Callithrix jacchus: one gene and its partner. The protein of the gene in region 1 purifies or fractionates together with the protein of each later gene. This does not show direct contact. Links are inferred from orthologs where the notes say so. Each region holds a gene or a part of one and is shown on either strand. Other genes may lie near its edges.

Evidence for each region.
Region 2: the proteins of INSRR (region 1) and HSP90AB1 purify together in Homo sapiens (affinity purification with mass spectrometry; 3 studies listed by BioGRID and IntAct, with this or other methods). This does not show direct contact. The link is inferred for Callithrix jacchus from reciprocal best matches to the Homo sapiens genes INSRR and HSP90AB1.

The regions. Positions count from the first base shown.
Region 1 is NC_133519.1:17,248,342-17,257,617, reverse strand, and holds part of INSRR (insulin receptor-related protein), read left to right. Parts: intron 1-4,493; coding exon 4,494-5,045; intron 5,046-6,611; coding exon 6,612-6,915; intron 6,916-7,016; coding exon 7,017-7,159; intron 7,160-7,368; coding exon 7,369-7,513; intron 7,514-9,267; coding exon 9,268-9,276. UniProt on the Homo sapiens protein: Receptor with tyrosine-protein kinase activity. Functions as a pH sensing receptor which is activated by increased extracellular pH. Activates an intracellular signaling pathway that involves IRS1 and AKT1/PKB.
Region 2 is NC_133505.1:52,707,427-52,716,802, forward strand, and holds the start of HSP90AB1 (heat shock protein HSP 90-beta), read left to right. Parts: upstream 1-4,492; 5' UTR 4,493-4,628; intron 4,629-5,112; exon of another isoform or gene 5,113-5,219; intron 5,220-5,514; exon of another isoform or gene 5,515-5,688; intron 5,689-6,644; coding exon 6,645-6,791; intron 6,792-7,665; coding exon 7,666-7,872; intron 7,873-7,974; coding exon 7,975-8,134; intron 8,135-8,337; coding exon 8,338-8,471; intron 8,472-8,605; coding exon 8,606-8,914; intron 8,915-9,295; coding exon 9,296-9,376. UniProt on the Homo sapiens protein: Molecular chaperone that promotes the maturation, structural maintenance and proper regulation of specific target proteins involved for instance in cell cycle control and signal transduction. Undergoes a functional cycle linked to its ATPase activity.

The DNA of each region.
Region 1 (9,276 bases):
TTGCCTGAAAACCAAAATGAGGCTGTGAGTGTTAGAAGTCATCTCTGGGGCCACAGAATGGGAAGAAGCAGGGTGGGACAGGGAGCTGAGGACCAGGCACCATGAAGTAATGGAGGCAAATGCTGCAGACAGAAGACTGCGCTCAGGGGACTAAGGGTGACGCTAGACTGCGTCCTGAGCCGGCCTCCAGGGCCCTGTCCTGTGGTCCTGTGTGTCCCCCCTCCTTAGGGTCCAATCACTACGGGGTGGAAGGCTGGTTCTGGGGGAAACTGCTTTTCCTCAACTGCTTTTCACAGGGCCTGTCCCCCAGGCTAGATACTGCCCATGATTAGGTTTTAGAGAGTATGGCGGTGAGGCCAGGTAGGGTGGCTCATGCCTGTAATCCCAGCACTTTGGGAGGCCGAGGCAGGTGGATCACGTGGTCAGGAATTCAAGACAGCCTAGCCAAGATAGTGAAACCCCATCTCTACTAAAAATACAAAAAAAAAGAAAAAATAGCCGGGTGTGGTGGCAGGCACCTGTACTCCCAGCTACTCAGGAGGCTGAGGCAGAGAATTGCTTGAAATCACACCACTGCACTCCAGCCTGGGCAACAGAGCAAGACTCTACCTCAAAAAAAAAAGAGAGAGAGATGGAGAGTACGGGGGTGGAGGGGTGGGGGGAACTATACAGACTAAATGACCGTCATGGAGGTACTGGGGGGCCTGATGGAAAGATGAAAAAGAGCTGAGGGTGGAAGCTTCAAAAAGGGAAGGATTAAGGGGTATCCCCTTCCTCAGTCCCACCATTCCCCTCCAGACTGAACCAGCTCAGGAATCCAGCACTTGGTGCCTGCCTGAGGGATCCTGTGATGCCCCTCAGACTGGGGGCTTCCAGAGGCAGGGGAGTCTCCCCTTCTTATGGAGACAGGAGAGCAACAAAATGGGCTGGGTAGGAGGTCCCCTGAAGGGTGCCAGTCACTGAGCCTCTGTATGTAAGGCACAGCACCACTCCCCTAGCCACTGAACCCCCTCCTGTCCTGCACAGCAGATGCCAGCTGGGAGTGTGGTTGTCAGGACAAGAGCACATCCTTGGAGGGGTTCGTATTTGTTCAGGGGACCCAGATGTTCCATTCCCAGTGCAGCTCTGCACAGAGCCGGGTCCTGAGGGAAGGCAGGGGTTAATCTGTGAAGGTTTTAGATTTGTTTTTCCAAATGACTCCCATCAGGGGAGCCCTGGAGAGGCAGGGGCATGATGGGAAGTGGGCGCCTGAGAGAACCCCCATCTGCCTCACAGAGCCTGATTGGCTTTCGCCTGGAAGGGATAGAAGTGTTTTCTCATTCTCTCTCCCTCTATTTTGTGTGTGTACCTGCGTGGGCTCAGACACACACACACACACACACACACACACACACACACACACACAGCTGCTGGGCAGAGCCAAGCTCAGGACTATTAATGACAACAGGGAGAAGATGTGAAGTCACCCCCAGGGAGCCAGCCTGGCCTGCCCACCTCTCTTAACAAACTATCAGGAACCGGGCCTCGTGCTGTGTGGTGTTTGTGATAACCCGGAGGGCTCGGCGGGAAGGGAAGTAGAGGCTGGAGACATTAGCAGGAGCTGAATGTCAGGCTGAAACATTCAGACTTGAATCTTCTGCAGTGGGGAGTCATAGAAGGTCCTCTCGGGAGCAAGTGAGTCCAGGCATCCAGCCCCCTTAGGGGGCTGGGGAGAAAAAGGGAATGGGGCTTGGGCCCTGGTGAAGAAGCCACACACCCACGTCCCCAAGGAAGGAGCAGACTTGGGAATCCAGACATCCATTGTCCACGGTTCCTGGGTTCCCAGTGGTTCCAGCCCTGGACTGGGCACAACTGGGGGAATGCAGAGCTGACCGACAAGGGTCCCACCCTCTTTGCAGGGGATGACAGAGATGTACACAACAATTTTGGAGCAATGCCCTCAGGTAATCTGGTGTTGGCGCTGAACTAAGGGTAGCTGAGCCTGAAGGGGAAGTGACTAACTTGGGGCCAGAGGGTCAGGGAAGATTTGCAGGACAAGGCCTGAAGGCCCCTTCTGAGCCTGGAGGCATAAGTAAGGGATGGTTCATCTACACCCTGCAGTGTCAGGCTGAGGAACTGAAACTTGATTCTTTAGCAATGGGGAGCTCTAGAATGTTCCTTCATGAGTAATCAAATTCAGGGAACAGGCATCTAACTCCCTTAGGACTGAGAGAGACATGGGATCTATGAAGCTCAGACCACTGCTCTCATTCACTCATTCATCAAATATTTATTGAGTGCCAATTTTGTGCCAGTCACTATACCAGCCACTAGGGTACAACATGAATTATACAAATATCCCTGCCCTTATGGCGCTTACAATAAACAAAATAAATGTATTTATATAAATAAATACATATCTATATTAATATATAAATTATATTTTAGCCAGTGTTAAAAATAAATATATGGTCAGGCATGATGGCTGATACCTGTAATCCCAGCACTTTGGGAGGCCAAGGCAGAGGGATTACTTGAGGAGGCCAGGGGTCAAGGGTGCAGCAAACTGTGATCCTGCCATAGTACACAACAATTTTGTAAGAGTGAAACTCTATCTCAAAATATTACACACACACAAATACATTAGTCAGTGTTAAGAATTATAGAGAAAACTCAAGCAGAAGGGGGAGTAGAGAGTGCCACAATTTTATTTTATTTTATTTAGTTTATTATTATTATTTTAGACACTGAGTCTCACTCTGTCGCCCAGGCTGGAGTGCAGTGGTGTGATCACGGCTCACTGCAGCCTTGACTTCCTGGGCTCAAGCAATCCTCCCATCTTAACCTCCTGAGTACCTGAGACTATAGACATGTACCACCACACCTGGCTAATTTTTGTATATTTTTGTAGAGAGGGGGGTTTCACCATGTTGGCCAAGCTGGTCTCGAACTCCTGGGCTCAAGCAGTCTTCCCATCTCAGCCTCCCAAAGTGCTGGGCTTACAGACGTAAAAAGTCAGTTTTAAATAGGATGGTCAGGCCGGGCGTGGTGGCTCATGCCTATAATCCCAGAACTTTGGGAGGCTGAGGTGGGTGGATCATTTGAGGTCAGGAGTTTGAGGCCACCCGGGTCTCGTCTCTACTAAAAACACAAAAACATGGTAAAACCTTGTCTCTACTAAAAATGCGAAAATTAGCTAGGCGTGCTGGTGGGCACCTGTAATCCCAGCTAGTCTGGAGGCTGAAGGAGGAGAATAGCTCAAACCTGGGAGATGGAGGCTGTAGTGAGCTGAGATTGTGCCACTGCACTCCAACCTGGGCAACAGGGTGAGACTCCATCACAGACAAACAAACAAACAAACAAACAAATAAAGTCAGATGGTGAGAGAAGGCCTCATTGAGAAAGGGACATTTGGCCAGACTTAAGGAGGTGAGCAAGCCATGTAGAGGGAGGAGGGTTCTGGCCGGAAGGAATAGGACAAAGACCCCAAGGTGGGAGCTTGGCTGGCTTGTTTAAAGGATAGCGAAGAAGTCAGTGAGGCTGAAGAAGATAAAGAGGATGAAGTCAGAGGGGTTACAGGAGCTGAAATCAGACAGGGCCCTGTAGGCCGTGGTAAGATCAAGAGAGATGGAAGTCACGGGGTCATAAGCAGAGGAGAAGCATGAGCCATCTGTGTTTTGAGATCACTCTGGCTGCAGTGCGGAGAATGGTCCATAGAGGGACAAGGGAGGCATTGGGGAGACAGTCTGGGAGGCTATTACTGTGAATCCAAGGGAAGATGATGATGATGGTGGAAGCTGTGAAGGTGTTCACAAGTAGTTCAGATTCTGTGTGTGTGTGTGTGTGTGTATTTTTATTTTTATTTTTTGAGATGGAAGACAGAGTCTTGCTCTGTCACCCAGGCTGGAGTGCAATGGCACGATCTCAGCTCACTACAACCTCCACCTCCCAGGTTCAAGTGATTCTCCTGCCTCAGCCACCTGAGTAGCTGGGACTACAGACGCGCACCACCACACCCAGCTAATTTTTCTATTATTAGTAGAGACAGGGTTTTACCATGTTGGCCAGGCTGGTCTCAAACTTCTGACCTTATGATCTGCCCGCCTTGGCCTCCCAAAGTGCTGGGATTACAGGGGTGGGCCACCATGCCCTGCCATTTCTGGATACATTTTAAAGATAAACCCACAGGATGCAGAAGGTGAAAAAGAAAGGCATTAAGGATGACTTTAAGTTGGGAGCCGGACTGCAGGAATGTTGCTTTTAACTAAGAAGGGGAAATGGGCTTGGGAGAGATCAGGAGTTCATTTCTGCCTGTGTGGCTCATCTGGTAGAGACCCCGAAGGCTGCAGGTGAGCCCTCCAAGGCCCAGGGCAGAGGCCACCCCACACCCAGAGAAGAGCCGGGCTCCTCACTCATTGTCCTACTGCCAGCGTGCTCCCCTCCAAAGCTGCCGGAGCTGGATGGGGAGCTTGGCCTAGGCTGTACTCACTGCTGAGTGCCATGTGTGCCCACAGTTTGCCCCAGCCTGGACATTCGCTCAGAGGCAGCAGAGCTTCGTCGGCTGGAGAACTGCAGCATGGTGGAGGGCCACCTGCAGATCCTGCTCATGTTCACAGCCACCGGGGACGACTTCCGCGGCCTCAGCTTCCCTCGCCTCACCCAGGTCACCGACTACCTGCTGCTCTTCCGTGTCTACGGACTGGAGAGCCTGCGCGACCTCTTCCCCAACCTAGCCGTCATCCGCGGGACGCGCCTCTTCCTGGGCTATGCCCTGGTCATCTTTGAGATGCCGCATCTGCGTGACGTGGGACTGCCTGCGCTTGGGGCCGTGCTGCGTGGGGCTGTGCGTGTGGAGAAGAACCAGGAGCTCTGCCACCTCTCCACCATTGACTGGGGATTGCTGCAGCCGGTACCTGGCGCCAACCACATCGTGGGCAACAAGCTGGGCGAGGAGTGTGCTGACGTGTGCCCTGGTGTGCTGGGTGCTGCTGGCGAGCCCTGCGCCAAGACCACCTTCAGTGGGCACACTGACTACAGATGCTGGACCTCCAGCCACTGCCAGAGAGGTGGGCACTGGCATACAGTGTTGACTGTAGGGATCAGAAAGAGCAGGGGCTTGTGGGGCTGGGTGGCCACAGAGTGGTATCGGTCAGTACTTTCAGCTGCCACTGTTTTTTAATCCTCACTCTTCCTATAAGGCAGGTAAGGAAACTAAGGCTCAGAAAAGTTAGATAACCAATGTGGCATAAGACAGCCAAGAGGAAGGCTCAAGACGGCATCATGGAGTAGGTGAAGGACAGGTTCAATGTAGGCTTGGGGGAAAAAGAGTAGGCACAAACAGAGAGGAGGCAGCACAAGAAGCAGTGTGGGGCAGTGGCTAAATGCAAAGCCAGAGGGCCTGGGTTCAAGTCTCGCCTCTACCACCTACCGGCTGTATTCACCTAGCCTCTCTGTGGCAGTTTCCTGAGCTGTAAAAAGGATCACTGGGTGGCATGAGGAATGAGTTCTTCTACAAACGTCAGAGCAGCACCCGCGTCAGGGTAGCAGTTCTGTTCCTAATCAGAGTGGCCGCAGCCTAGTGATCCAGGGTCAGCTGGCAGTACTGTAACGGGAGGGTGAGGTTGGGGGTGAGCGGGAGAAGAAAGGAGGAGGCGATCGATGAAGAACTGAGCAGGTGAGAGCAAAGATGTGAGGTGGGACCTTTAGGACGATGCTTGATGCTCGGAGAGGAAAGAGGCAGTAGAGAAAGGGGGAAGGAGAAAACAGAGGGATGGCCGGAGGAAGAGGAAGTGCAAAGTTATAGAAAAGGCGAGGAAGACCTTTCAGAGGTGGGGAGCAGATCTGGGGTCTCCCAACCTGGGGGTCTTTTACTCTCAGCTCCTGGAGGTCAGCTCCTCTCACCCCCAGTGCCTCAGCAGCAGGGCAGGTGGGAGAGTAACCAGATCCCCGCTGTAGCGGCTGCGCCCCACCTCCCTGATGCCTCCCTGTTGGCTGTAAACAGCTGCTGGCATCCTCTCCTGTACAGTGTCAACACGACCTGGCTGACCTTCGCCCCATAGATTGTTCCCACAGCCAGCCAGCTGCCACTATGCAGTTTCTAGGCAATTGGACCCCCAACCCCAAACCCTCCTACTGCTGCTTGGAGCCACTTCTTGTCCAGGGCAGGAAACTGAACTGGGAGGCGGTACACGCAGAAGCAGGGGTAAAACGACGGATATCAGCCCCTCCCTGCACACAGTCTCAGGCCCCTGGGCCTAGCTGCTCAGGAGAGGCTGGCTGGCTCACTATGGCACTATGCCCAGCCATGATCTGGGCACCACGCCTAGACAGGACAGACAGAACAGCAGTCTGGAGAGCAACAACCCTGATGGACAAGGTCACTGCTCTGTCCTGAGCTCTGACACCGCCGACTAGGCACTGTGGGAGGTGGGGAGCCACAGACAGGGCCACAGGCCTTGTCCTTAAGAATCCTGTCAGAGGGAAACAGAGTCAGCAGCCAGTGTCATCTGAATGGAAGGGACCTGGGTGCAGATTGAGTATCATCCCAAGAGAAATGGGGTGGGGCCAGCATTGGAAGGGCAGCCATGACTGAGGGGGCATGGCCAAGGTCTAACACACCACTCTGCCCACAGTGTGCCCCTGCCCCCATGGGCTGGCTTGCACAGCAAGGGGTGAGTGCTGCCACACCGAATGCCTGGGGGGCTGCAGCCGGCCAGAAGACCCTCGTGCCTGTGTAGCTTGCCGTCACCTCTACTTTCAGGGTGCCTGCCTGTGGGCCTGCCCTCCAGGCACCTACCAGTATGAGTCCTGGCGCTGTGTCACAGCTGAGCACTGTGCCAGCCTGCGCTCTGTGCCCGGCCGCGCCTCCACCTTCGGCATACACCAGGGCAGTTGCCTGGCCCAGTGCCCTTCTGGCTTCACCCGTAATAGCAGCAGGTGAGTGTAGGGAGGGTGGGGGGGGCACCCTGGGAGCAGTGAGGAGGCCTGAGGAGGCCCAGGCTGGTCCAAGGCTCAGGACATCTACTTGCTCCTGCTAGCATATTCTGCCACAAATGCGAGGGGCTGTGCCCTAAAGAGTGCAAGGTAGGCACCAAGACCATCGACTCCATCCAGGCGGCACAGGATCTGGTGGACTGCACACATGTGGAGGGAAGCCTCATCCTCAACCTTCGCCAGGGCTGTCAGTACCTACTCTGGGGTCACACCCCTCCTCCTGGCCATGCCCTTCCTCCCAGGCACACCCTTACAATGGGCCCAACTAAGCCCCACTTTCCATCATCCTGGGTTCCAGCCCTGAGGGCCTACCCCCACCTCCCCATTCAGCCCCCTTGCCCCACAGACCCATCACCTTCCCTGCTCCTGCTCCAGCCCCGTCTTCCCCATCCCTAGACAACCTGGAGCCGCAGCTGCAGCACAGCCTGGGGCTGGTAGAGACCATTACTGGCTTCCTCAAAATCAAGCACTCCTTTGCCCTCGTGTCCCTGGGCTTTTTCAAGAACCTCAAGCTAATCCGAGGAGACGCCATGGTAGATGGGTAAGGGTCAGGCCTCTGGCCAGCTCCTTCCATTACACCCCTTCCTCCAACACTCGCAGAACAGTGGTGAAGAGAATGGGCTCTGGAACCGATTTTTCTACTCACTAGCCATGTGGCTCTGAGTAGGTTACTTACATTCTCTGGTCTTCAGTTTTCTCATCTGTAAAATGGGGCTAATATAACATTACTTACTTTGTAGGGCTGTTTCAAATATTACTCAAGTTGTTATGTGTAAAGCACATCAAACAATGCCAGGAACACAGTGTATACAATATAAATTAGTCATAGATAACGCTATAAAGGTTGGCTACAATTGTTATCATCTGGTTCTGTCAGCTGCAGAGCAAGACTGTCTGGGTTTAAAACCCATTCCTAGCACCTGCCAGTCAAGGCCTACCTATAATGTAGGCAGGATTTTTCAAAATAAAAAGAATGTTCTAAATTACCATCCAGGCTGGGCACGGTGGCTCACGCCTGTAATCCCAGCACTTTGGGAGGCCAAGGCAGGAGGATCCCATGTGGTCAGGAGTTTGAGACCAGCCTGGCCAACATGGAGAAATCCCGTCTCTACTAAAAATACAAAAATTAGCCAGGTGTGCTGGTGGGCACCTGTAGTCCCAGCTACTCAGGAGGCTGAGGCAGGAGAATCGCTTGAACCTGGGAGACAGAGGTTACAATGAGCTGAGATCGCGCCACTGCACTCCAGCCTGGGCGACAGAGGGGGACGCCGTCACAAAAAATAAACAAATAACCATCCAGGCCAGATGCAGTAGTTCACACCTGTAATCCTAGCACTTTGGCAGGCCAAGGCAGGAGGATCACTTGAGCCCAGGAGTTAGAGACCAGCCTGAGCAACATGGTGAACCCTGTCTCTACAAAAAATACAAAATTAGCCAACCATGATGGCAGGTGCCTGTAGTCCTCAGCTACTCAGGAGGATGAGGCAGGGTCAAGGGGGCAGTGGGCCGCAATTGTGCCACTGGGTGACAGACTGAGGAAAAAAAAAAAATTACCATCCAGTCTAGTGTCTCCCTGTGGCTTCTCATGTCTCCAGACACATTGTGTGTGCCCAGGGGTGTCCACACCCCAGCTGGAGAGGAATGGCCCAGGCTGAGTACCACTCCTCCTTGTGTTTCCAAAGCCTTCGGAGTCTGGAACATAGCAGGTGCTCAGTTTAAAGAGAGTCAAGGGTTAGCTGGATGTGGTGGCTCAAGCTTGTAATCCTAGCACTTTGGGAGGCAGAGGCAGGCGGATCACGAGGTCAGGAGTTCAAGACCAGCCTGTCCAATATGGTGAAACCCCATTTCTACTAAAAAATACAGAAATTAGCCAGGCATGGTGGCACATGCCTGTAGTCCCAGCTACTCGGGAGGCTGAGGCAGGAGAATCGCTTGAACCAGGAGGTGGAGGTTGCAGCGAGCCCAGATCGTGCCACTGCACTCCAGCTTGGGTGACAGAGTGAGACTCCTTCTCAGAAAAAAAAGACAATCGAGGGATGGGGGCAGGGAAGCTGCAGTCCCCATTTCACTAATTAGGAAAACCAAAAGAGGGGGTGACTTGGCAGACATCACACTCCTGGTCATGGCACAGAGTGGGTGTGCACGAATGCCCCCAGTGTGCTGGGTGTGAGCCGGCCACTGAGTGCCCTCCTCCCTGGGCCCAGCAAAACCCCACCAGGAGGAACCCATAAGCCACCCCCTTCCCACCCCCTACACCCACCTCCCCGCAGAGCAAGGTCCCCTGGCCTCCCCCAGGAACTACAC
Region 2 (9,376 bases), on another chromosome or scaffold:
TCTTAAAAAAAAAAAAAAAAAAAAAAAGACTACAATGGTGAAGTGTTAGTAGCTTTCATTTTCTGATCAGGAATCAGACAGGGATGCCTAGAATTACTATTTCATCACTGTTCTGCGATCCTAGCTGGTGCATTAAAACAAGAAATAAGAGATGCAAGAATCAGAAAAGGAGAAACCAAACTGTCATTGTTTTCAGGTGATATGGTTGTACCTACAAAACGCCAAAACATTTACAGACAAATTAAAAATTAGTAAGGTAGCTTACCAACTTGCTAGATCAATAAACAAAAATTAAATTGCTCAATTGCTTTTTGAACTCTGGGAAACAGAAAATGAACAAAAATTACCATTTTCTATGGCATCGAAAAAATAGCAATACTAACAATACAGTGACCAAAAGTTGTACATGAGACTTCTCTTGTGTACTAGTGGAAACGTGAAAATGGAGGCAAAGAGGTGGAGTCCATGCGGGTTGTGCAGACCTGCCCAACTGTCCAATGCGTCTGAATGTCGGGCTCACTAGTACTGGAGGGTGTCAGTTCAGGGTATTCCCTTAGGAATTCAGATCTAAGCCTCATGGAACTGAGAAGGCCCAGAAAGTAACGGGACACACCTGGCAGGCACTGAGCTTAAGAGGCTACTTGTTCTAGGGGTTCAAGGTCCACAGCTACTCTCCATGCTCATATGCCTGGTGTCCTCCTCTGGCCCTCAGTAGTTTATTTGTCCACTGAGCTTTATTTAACTCTCCTCAGTGGCCTCCATGAACCCCAGACTGTGTCCAAGCTGAGTCTCTGTACTCCCTGCAAGACTTTACTGAGCTTTAAAATAGCTTAGGGTCTGTAAAAGGCAAGAGAGTGAATGTTTTAGGGTTTGCAAGTGTTATGGTCTCTGTCACAACTATCGATTTTGACCTTATGGCACAGAAGCAGTCAAAGATGAGGGCTGTTTCAATAAAATTTCTTTTCCTTTTTTTTTTTTAAAGAAGGGGTTTCACCATGTTGGTCAGGCTGGTCTTGAACTCCCAACCTCAGGTGATCTGCCCCGCCTTGGCCTCCAAAGTGCTTGGATTACAGGCGTGAGCCACCACGCCCGGCCCTAAAGTTTCATTAAAATTGGCCAGGCACTGGCTCACGCCTGTAATCACAGCAATTTGGAAGGCTGAAGCAGGCAGATCACCTGAGCTCAGGAGCTGGAGACCAGCCTGGCCAACGTGGTGAAACACCACCTCTACTAAAAATACAAAAATTAGCCAGGAGTGGTGGTGGGCACCTGTAATCCCAGCTACTTGGGGGGCTCAGACAGGAGAATCGCTTGAACCTGGGGTGGAGGTTGCAGTGAGCTGAGATCGTGCCACTGCACAAGAGCCAGACTCCATCTCAAAAACAAAAACAAAAAACTTCATGAAAACAGAAACTCAAATTTCATATAGTTTTTCCACATTAAAATAATATATTTTGGGCCAGGCGCGGTGGCTCATGCCTGTAATCTCAGCACTTTGGGAGGTTGAGGTGGGTGGATCACGAGGTCAAGAGATCGAGACCATCCTGGTCAACATGGTGAAACCCCGTCTCTACTAAAAATACAAAAAATTAGCTGGGCACAGTGGTGCGTGCCTGTAATCCCAGCTACTCGGGAGGCTGAGGCAGGAGAATTGCCTGAACCCAGGAGGCGGAGGTTGCGGTGAGCCGGGATCGCGCCATTGCACTCCAGCCTGGGTAGCAAAAGTGAAACTCCGTCTCAAAAAAAAAAATAAATAAAAAATAAAAAAAAATAATATATTTTGATTTTTTTATTTCAACCATTATAAAGTGTAAAAACCACTCTTGGCCCACAGGACATTCTAAAACAAGCAGCAGGCCCACCAGCTGCAGGCCTTGGGTTGTTAATCCCTGCTTTAGCTGGCCACCCTTCAACAGCAGAAGGCTGGGCTGGGCCTAGGAGATTTCATGGAGGAATACCAGGGATCTTGGGAATATCTATGGTCCCAAGTGCCGCTGGGAATAAGGCTTCAGAAGATGTAGTTTTAAGCCTATCTTTTATAGCCTTCACTTCTCGCACCTTTGAGGTCAGAACGTCTTACCAGTGGCATTTGCTGCCCTCTGTGACCTAACCCCTATCTGCAGGGCTACTTTCAACTCCTTGTGCTTCCCTTTTGGGTTCCTGAGCTACGGTTCCTCTAATGGGGCCCTGTGCCTTGCCATGCTTTTCATGTCATGGCCAGGCTAGCCATGGTCCTAAGACTGCTCCCTTCCCCAGGCTGAGCTGAGGGCCTCTGCTGCTTCTCCCATCCTCCTATGGTTCATACTTGGCCTGCTGCAGTCCCCCATGGGCTGAGGGCTCCCAGTCCTGTGTATGAATCTCTGCATCCCCACAATCACCACACAGTGGAGATTAGTGAGTGTCAATGAGCAGAAAAGGTTGAAGCTTCTGGACATAGCTAGGTAGTCTCCTGAAAGGTTTCCTGGAAGCGAAAGTGGAATTTCTTTTCTTTCTTTCTTTTTTTTTTTTCTTGAGGCAGAATCTGGCTCTGTGGCCCAGGCTGGAGTACAGTGGCGCGATCTTGGCTCACTGCAACTTCTGCCTCCTGGGTTCAAGTGATTCTTCTGCCTAAGCCTCCCGAGTGGCTGGGACTACCAGAGCACACCACCATGTCTGGCTAATTTTTGTATTTTTAGTAGAGACGGGGTTTCACCCTATTGGCCAGGCTGGTCTTGAACTCCTGACTTGTGGTCCACCCGCCTCGGCCTCTCAAAGTGCTGGAATTATGGGCATGAGCCACCACAATGGCATGGTCTTGGCTAACTGCAACCTCTGCCTCCCGAGTTCAAGTGATTTTCCTGCCTCAGCCTCCCACGTAGCTGGGGTTATAGGTGCCCGCCGCTACATCTAGCTAATTTTTGTATTTTTAGTCAAGACAAGGTTTCACCATGTTGGCCAGGCTAGTCTCAAACTCCTGACCTCATGTGATCCACCCACCTTGCCCTCCCAAAGTGCTGAGATCACAGGCGTGAGGCACTGAGCCCAGCTGAGAAAGTGGAATTTATATGCTGGTGTAAGATTTGAGATTTTCCAATTTAGAAAGTCTTCAGGAAGCTGCTGAGTCTTGACACTGAAAGGATCCAGCTCGGGAAGCCCATCCCACAGGAGTGATTCCTGCTTTGGATTTAGGTCCTAGGAGTGAGATCACATCCCTGCTCCATTTGTAGAGCAGGAAGGGAGCTAGTGCAGCAAGGGCTCTGAGAAGAGGGACCCTGGGAGTCACTGAAGCCATTTTCCTGTTGATAGAAAGTGCACACTGACTTTCATCTGCTCACAGGACAGTGAGATTTTGTGAATGCTCTGTAAACTGGGGAGCAGATTTTTAATGAGCTAGGCCCCACTGCTTAGAAGGAGAGGGCATGTTAAAGGATCACACTCCCTCGGGTTTGCGGTTTTGGTCAGGAACAGAGCCTCCAACGCTCCTTCCTATAGACTTCTCCCAGCCATTGGCTTTTTGCAGACCATAAAGGAAGGGAGAAAGGACATAAAATCGGGGTAGTGATGGCGGGCACGTTGAGGTGGACAGTGGACGGGGACAATGAAGAGGAAAGCATGGGACTGCCTTTGTTTTTTGGTATTCAAAGCTTGTTAAGGAATGTAGATGGGTAACAGGGCTGGTGAGGGAGGACGATGTGGGTGGTCGTGGGGAAAACCCTTCCCAGGCATCCCAGGGGTGGGCCAGGAAGGGGAGTAGAAGGACGTCTACAAGGCACGGGAGTGGTTATTCTCTCCTGGAGGGGCTGTGGGTCCAGCAGGATTTCGGATGAGACCTTGGAAAGGCAAGGCAGCTTGCCAACTGGAAGGCAGGCAAAAGGGCTGAACCAGGCCAGACATGGCGGTCTGCAGCTCACTGGCCAGGGGCATGGCCTACCCGCTCTGACGCCAAGGCTAAAGGGGAACAACTTGTCCAGCCGCTCTCTGGCCGGCGTCGTCACGAGGCCTCCATGAGCTCTGACTGCCCTGCAGTGGTTCCTGGAGACTCCTCACCTTCCCATGTCCAAATAGCTGCAAGAGGGAAGTGGGCGGAAAAAAAGCAAAACAGCTTGGGAAAAGGCTTGACGTGCCTGCGTAGGGAGGGTGCATGTTCCTGTGCTCCGTGTACGTGGCGGCCGCAGGGAATGGAGGGGGTCCCTCCAGTAGCGACTCTGTTTCCAGTCTCAGTCTGCATAAGTGGACGCCCGCAGAGGCGCCCCAGGTGCCCGGGTGTTGTGTGATTGACTGGGGGAAGGAGGGGTAGGTCGATCCCTTCCTAACGCTCCATCCCATCCCCGAGGATTGGGCTAGTAGGTCGGACGGTCAGAGCCGGAGGCCGGGCAGAGTCGCCGTAAAGACTCTGCTCCCGCCGGGCAGCAGCCGGAGAGGCGGAGCCTCGCGGGGAGGGGGCGGGCGGGGGCCGGACCGCCGAGACAGACCTGGAAACTGCTGGAAAGGCCGCAGTGCCGCCACCGCCGCCGCGTCTTCCGCCGCGTGCCGGCAAAAAGTCCCCACCAGCCCCGGCCGGCGCCCTCTCTCAACGCTGATCTACCCACCGTAGCTAAGCCTCCGCCCTTCCTGTGCGCCTGGGAGAGTCGGATCTGTGGCTGCCCAAGGTTGGGTCCCGAATTCCAATTCTTTCTACCGGGATGCGAAATGTGTGGGGCAGATTCTAGGAAGAAGATTGCGTCTGGGAGCGGCGGTCGGTGTGGTTAGCCACCTCCGCTTTTTTTAGGTGTCCCCCTCCCCCAGCCCCGCCCTTGGGTGTGGGGACGCCTGCCCCACAGGTTTTTAGGGAGGATAGTGGGTCCTCGTTCGTAGAGACACTGCTTTGTCAAATGAGCACTCCTCATCCCCGCTCTTGAGCGGGTCATGTCCTAGACGTGCAGACATGGGGGCTGTGGTCACAAGCAAACGTGTGAGTGGACCCGCTGCTTGGGTTCTTCTCTGCCCCCTCCCTTATTTCGGACCATGACGTCAAGGTGGGCTGGTGGTGGCAGGTGCGGAGTTGACAAGGGTACTCCTTTAAGGCGGAGGGATCCGGGGGAGGGGGGCTGTGCTGTGCTTCGCCTTATATAGGGCGACCTGGGGCGTGAAATAGCTCTCTTGAGTCGCTCCGGCGCTGCTCTTGTCTGTGTGTGTGTGTGTGTGTGTTGGACAGCCAGCCCACCTTGCTTTCTAATACCTGTGAGCCTTTTCTTTTGAAGGTAAGGCCGAAGTCTCTGCCAGGTTTCTTTTCCTTCACTGCTCTTTCGTTTTGCTGTTTTCTTTTTCTGTTTTTAGGAAGCCCAGATGTCGGGGTGGGCTGTGGATAACGCCCTGGATTTTTACAGGGTGAGGGTGGTAGTAGGTGAGGGCTCTTGAGTTTTGCTCCGTTTTCTCTTGTGTGCTTGGGCGGTGGGCTTTTTTCTCGGCGGCTGCTAGCCGTGGCGAGGTGGGCTGAGGGGTTGGGGGAGTGGGCGGAGGGCAGCTGCACGTGGTGGCCGCGCGGCCCAGGACGCTGCCATTCTTGCTTCTCCACTTCCGGAGGCGGCTACAGGGCGCCGGAGGGGGACCGCAGGGTGGCGGGGGTGCTCGCATGGGGTGACTCAGCACGGCCCTGCGGGACTGGCCTCACCATCTCTCTTTACGGCCGCGTCGAAAGCCTTGGGTGCTTTGTTTCTGTGAGGGCTCACGGTGAGGGAGAAGCGTTTTCGGCCTCCAGCTCCCATATTTCCTCCTTCCAGATCTTTCTTGCAGTCCCCGTGGAGGAGGGGTGGGGAGAGGGCAGGGTCTGGAAGATTCTTGGGCTCCCTCCTCCGCCCCTCCTCGAGAGCTGAGATTGTTCTGGAAGCTTCTGGATTCTGGCGCCCCGCCCCGGTGCCCGGATGCTGGGGAGAAGGGAGGGTACATGGTGGCGTCCCCTCCTCGCGTGGCCCCTGCCGATGCATGTTCAACAGTGACGAGAGTCGGCCCGGTGGCTACGGCCACCATCTTTCCTGTGTTGGGTTTGGTCCTGTACTGTAATTCTGTGCTGTAAAGGGGTCGTGGTTGAGCTTTTGGTTTTTCGATTTTTTTGTCTGGATTTAATTGCTCCTCGGGCTGGTGGCCTACGGATCTGATTATTCCTCTTTGCCGTGTGGGGCAGAAGTCCTGCACCTTAGGCTGATTTTAGGAAGACACCTCAGGGGGACCGGTTTAACGTTAGTGCCATTTTAATCTTAAACTACTGGTTACTTTGACCTCCCCCAAATATAAAGAACCGTAGCTAGTGATTTTCACATTTAAATTTGCGCAAGGATTACCAGGGATCCCTAGATACCTGGGTTGGACCAGGATTATGAGTTTCTGCCATACTACCAGGTGACGCTGAGCCTGTTGGCCACCATTCTTTAAGTAACTGGGTTCTGTGACATTTGGTTGAAGAACATTGTAGCTTATTTTCTTTTTCCTTTTGATTTGGCTTCCCACTTAGTGTGTAGCCTGAGAGCTTTAAAGAGAATGCTTTTTTCGTCTCTTGGGAAGGGATAATAGTACTCAGCTTAAACCACCACTCAACTCACGTTTTAAGGTTCCAATGACAGGCAACCATTAGGATTTCTAAATATGGGGCCTTCATATTCTTTTGTAATTAATTACTATTTTTATTTTAGATGCCTGAGGAAGTGCACCATGGAGAGGAGGAGGTGGAGACTTTTGCCTTTCAGGCAGAAATTGCCCAACTCATGTCTCTCATCATCAATACCTTCTATTCCAACAAGGAGATTTTCCTTCGGGAGTTGATTTCTAATGCTTCTGATGTAAGTGCTCTGGTTTTCACATTTCATATATTTTAACATTCTGGAAGAAGGAGAGGGGTAGTTTGGCCTTTGTTGGGGACTACTGTTGAAGAGGTAAACCTGCAACTATTCCAAAAAGATTTGTCTTACTTTGTGGCCATTTTGAAGTTGGAAGGGACTATGTCCAGGATAAGTGGGTTGGTGTAACTATGGTTCTAATGCCTCAACATAAGGGGCAATCAGATTGAGGCTGACAGAAATACACCAAGATTTTCTTTGAAGATAAGGGCTTTAACAAAACAAAAGTGGGCGCAGTGGTTCATGCCTGTAATCCCACTACTTTGGGAGGTGGATCATGACTAGCCTGGAGTTCAAGACCAGCTTGGCCAACATGGTGAAACCCTGTCTTTACTAAAAATAGAACAACAACAAATTAGCTGGGCATGGTGACGAGTACCTGTAATCCCAGCTACTTGGGAGGCTGAGGCAGGAGATTCACTTGAACCCAAACCCAGGAGGCAGAGGTTGCAGTAAGCTGAGATTGCGCCACTGCACTCCAGCCTGGGCAACAAGAGCCAAACTTGTCTCAAAAAAAAAAAAAAAAAAAATTGGTCGAGCTGTTGGCTCCACACCTGTAATGCCAAGGCAGGAGAATCACTTGAATCTAGGACTTTAAGGGCAACATAGCAAGATCTTGTTTCTGCAAAAAAAAAAAAAATATTAAGTGGCCATGGTAGCATGTGCCTGTAGTCCAGCTACGTGGGAGTGTGGCTTGAGCCTGGGAGGTCCAGGCTGCAGTGAGCTGTGATCCTTAACATTGCACCGTAGCTTGAGCGACAGAGCCAGAGCCTGTCTTAAAGGGAAAACAAAAGCAAATTCCTATTTGTATTTTCAGGCCTTGGACAAGATTCGCTATGAGAGCCTGACAGACCCTTCAAAGTTGGACAGTGGTAAAGAGCTGAAAATTGACATCATCCCCAACCCTCAGGAACGTACCTTGACTTTGGTAGACACGGGCATTGGCATGACCAAAGCAGATCTCATAAATAATTTGGGAACCATTGCCAAGTCTGGTACTAAAGCATTCATGGAGGCTCTTCAGGTATGTGCAGTTTTGCAGGCACACACCATTCATATTTGTCAGTGTGCTTTGGTTTGTTGCTTTTCGAAAACTTGTGTTTGACTTTAAATAACTTGTTGGCAGGCTGGTGCAGACATCTCCATGATTGGGCAATTTGGTGTTGGCTTTTATTCTGCCTACCTGGTGGCAGAGAAAGTGGTTGTGATCACAAAGCACAATGATGATGAACAGTATGCCTGGGAGTCTTCTGCTGGAGGTTCCTTCACTGTGCGTGCTGACCATGGTAAGCTCTCCCGTTACAAGTTAAGCTGGGTTGGAGTTTTCTGGGCTTGTGAAGTGGCAGAAATTTTTAGCATCCTGTTTGTAAAGCAGTTGAAATTATAGCAGCCTCGCTAATATACTTTTTTTTTTTTTTTTTTGGCTTGGTGAAGTCTTAACTGCTTTTATATTTTCACCCTGTTACATGCTTGTGACTGACTCTTGTAGGTGAGCCCATTGGCAGGGGTACCAAAGTGATCCTCCACCTTAAAGAAGATCAGACAGAGTACTTAGAAGAAAGGCGGGTCAAAGAAGTAGTGAAGAAGCACTCTCAGTTCATAGGCTATCCCATCACCCTCTATGTGAGTGTGGACTTTTAAACCTTTTTCACTTAACGTGCAGGGTGTTTCCTGTTCTGGAGTCATCATGGGCCCTGGCTTTTGCTTTCCCTGTTAGTGGTTAGTACTCAAGGCTAACTTTTGTTTTTGTTGTTTAGTTGGAGAAGGAACGAGAGAAGGAAATTAGTGATGATGAGGCAGAGGAAGAGAAAGGTGAGAAAGAAGAGGAAGATAAAGATGATGAAGAAAAGCCCAAGATTGAAGATGTGGGTTCAGACGAGGAGGATGATAGTGGTAAGGATAAGAAGAAGAAAACTAAGAAGATCAAAGAGAAATACATTGATCAGGAAGAACTAAACAAGACTAAGCCTATTTGGACTAGAAACCCTGATGACATCACTCAAGAGGAGTATGGAGAATTCTACAAAAGCCTCACCAATGACTGGGAAGACCACTTGGCAGTCAAGGTGAGAAGCCCTTGCACATTGGCTCAACATACAAATATGGAGAGGAGTGAGTAGGTGGCGTTTTGGCAGGTAATAGACACATGGAACTTGTCCTCCTGATCACAGAAATGTTGAGAACCATGTGATTTCATTGATTACCCTGTCACAGTGAGGAGCTATCCTTCCTAATGACCTCACTTTGTCTTCTGATGGTAATCTTGGTAATGTCTGCCCCTGATCATTGAGAGCATTAAGGCTCGGTTTTCTAGAGAGCTGCCTGTTGTGTGTGCTTTGTCCTTTAGGCTTAGGGAGGATCATTGTTCCACTTTTAGGTAATTTGTTGGGGCTAAAAGGCACTCTTTGGAAATGTACTACTACTTGTTTATGTTTGGATTCTTTCAGCACTTTTCTGTAGAAGGTCAGTTGGAATTCAGGGCATTGCTATTCATTCCTCGTCGGGCTCCCTTTGACCTTTTTGAGAAC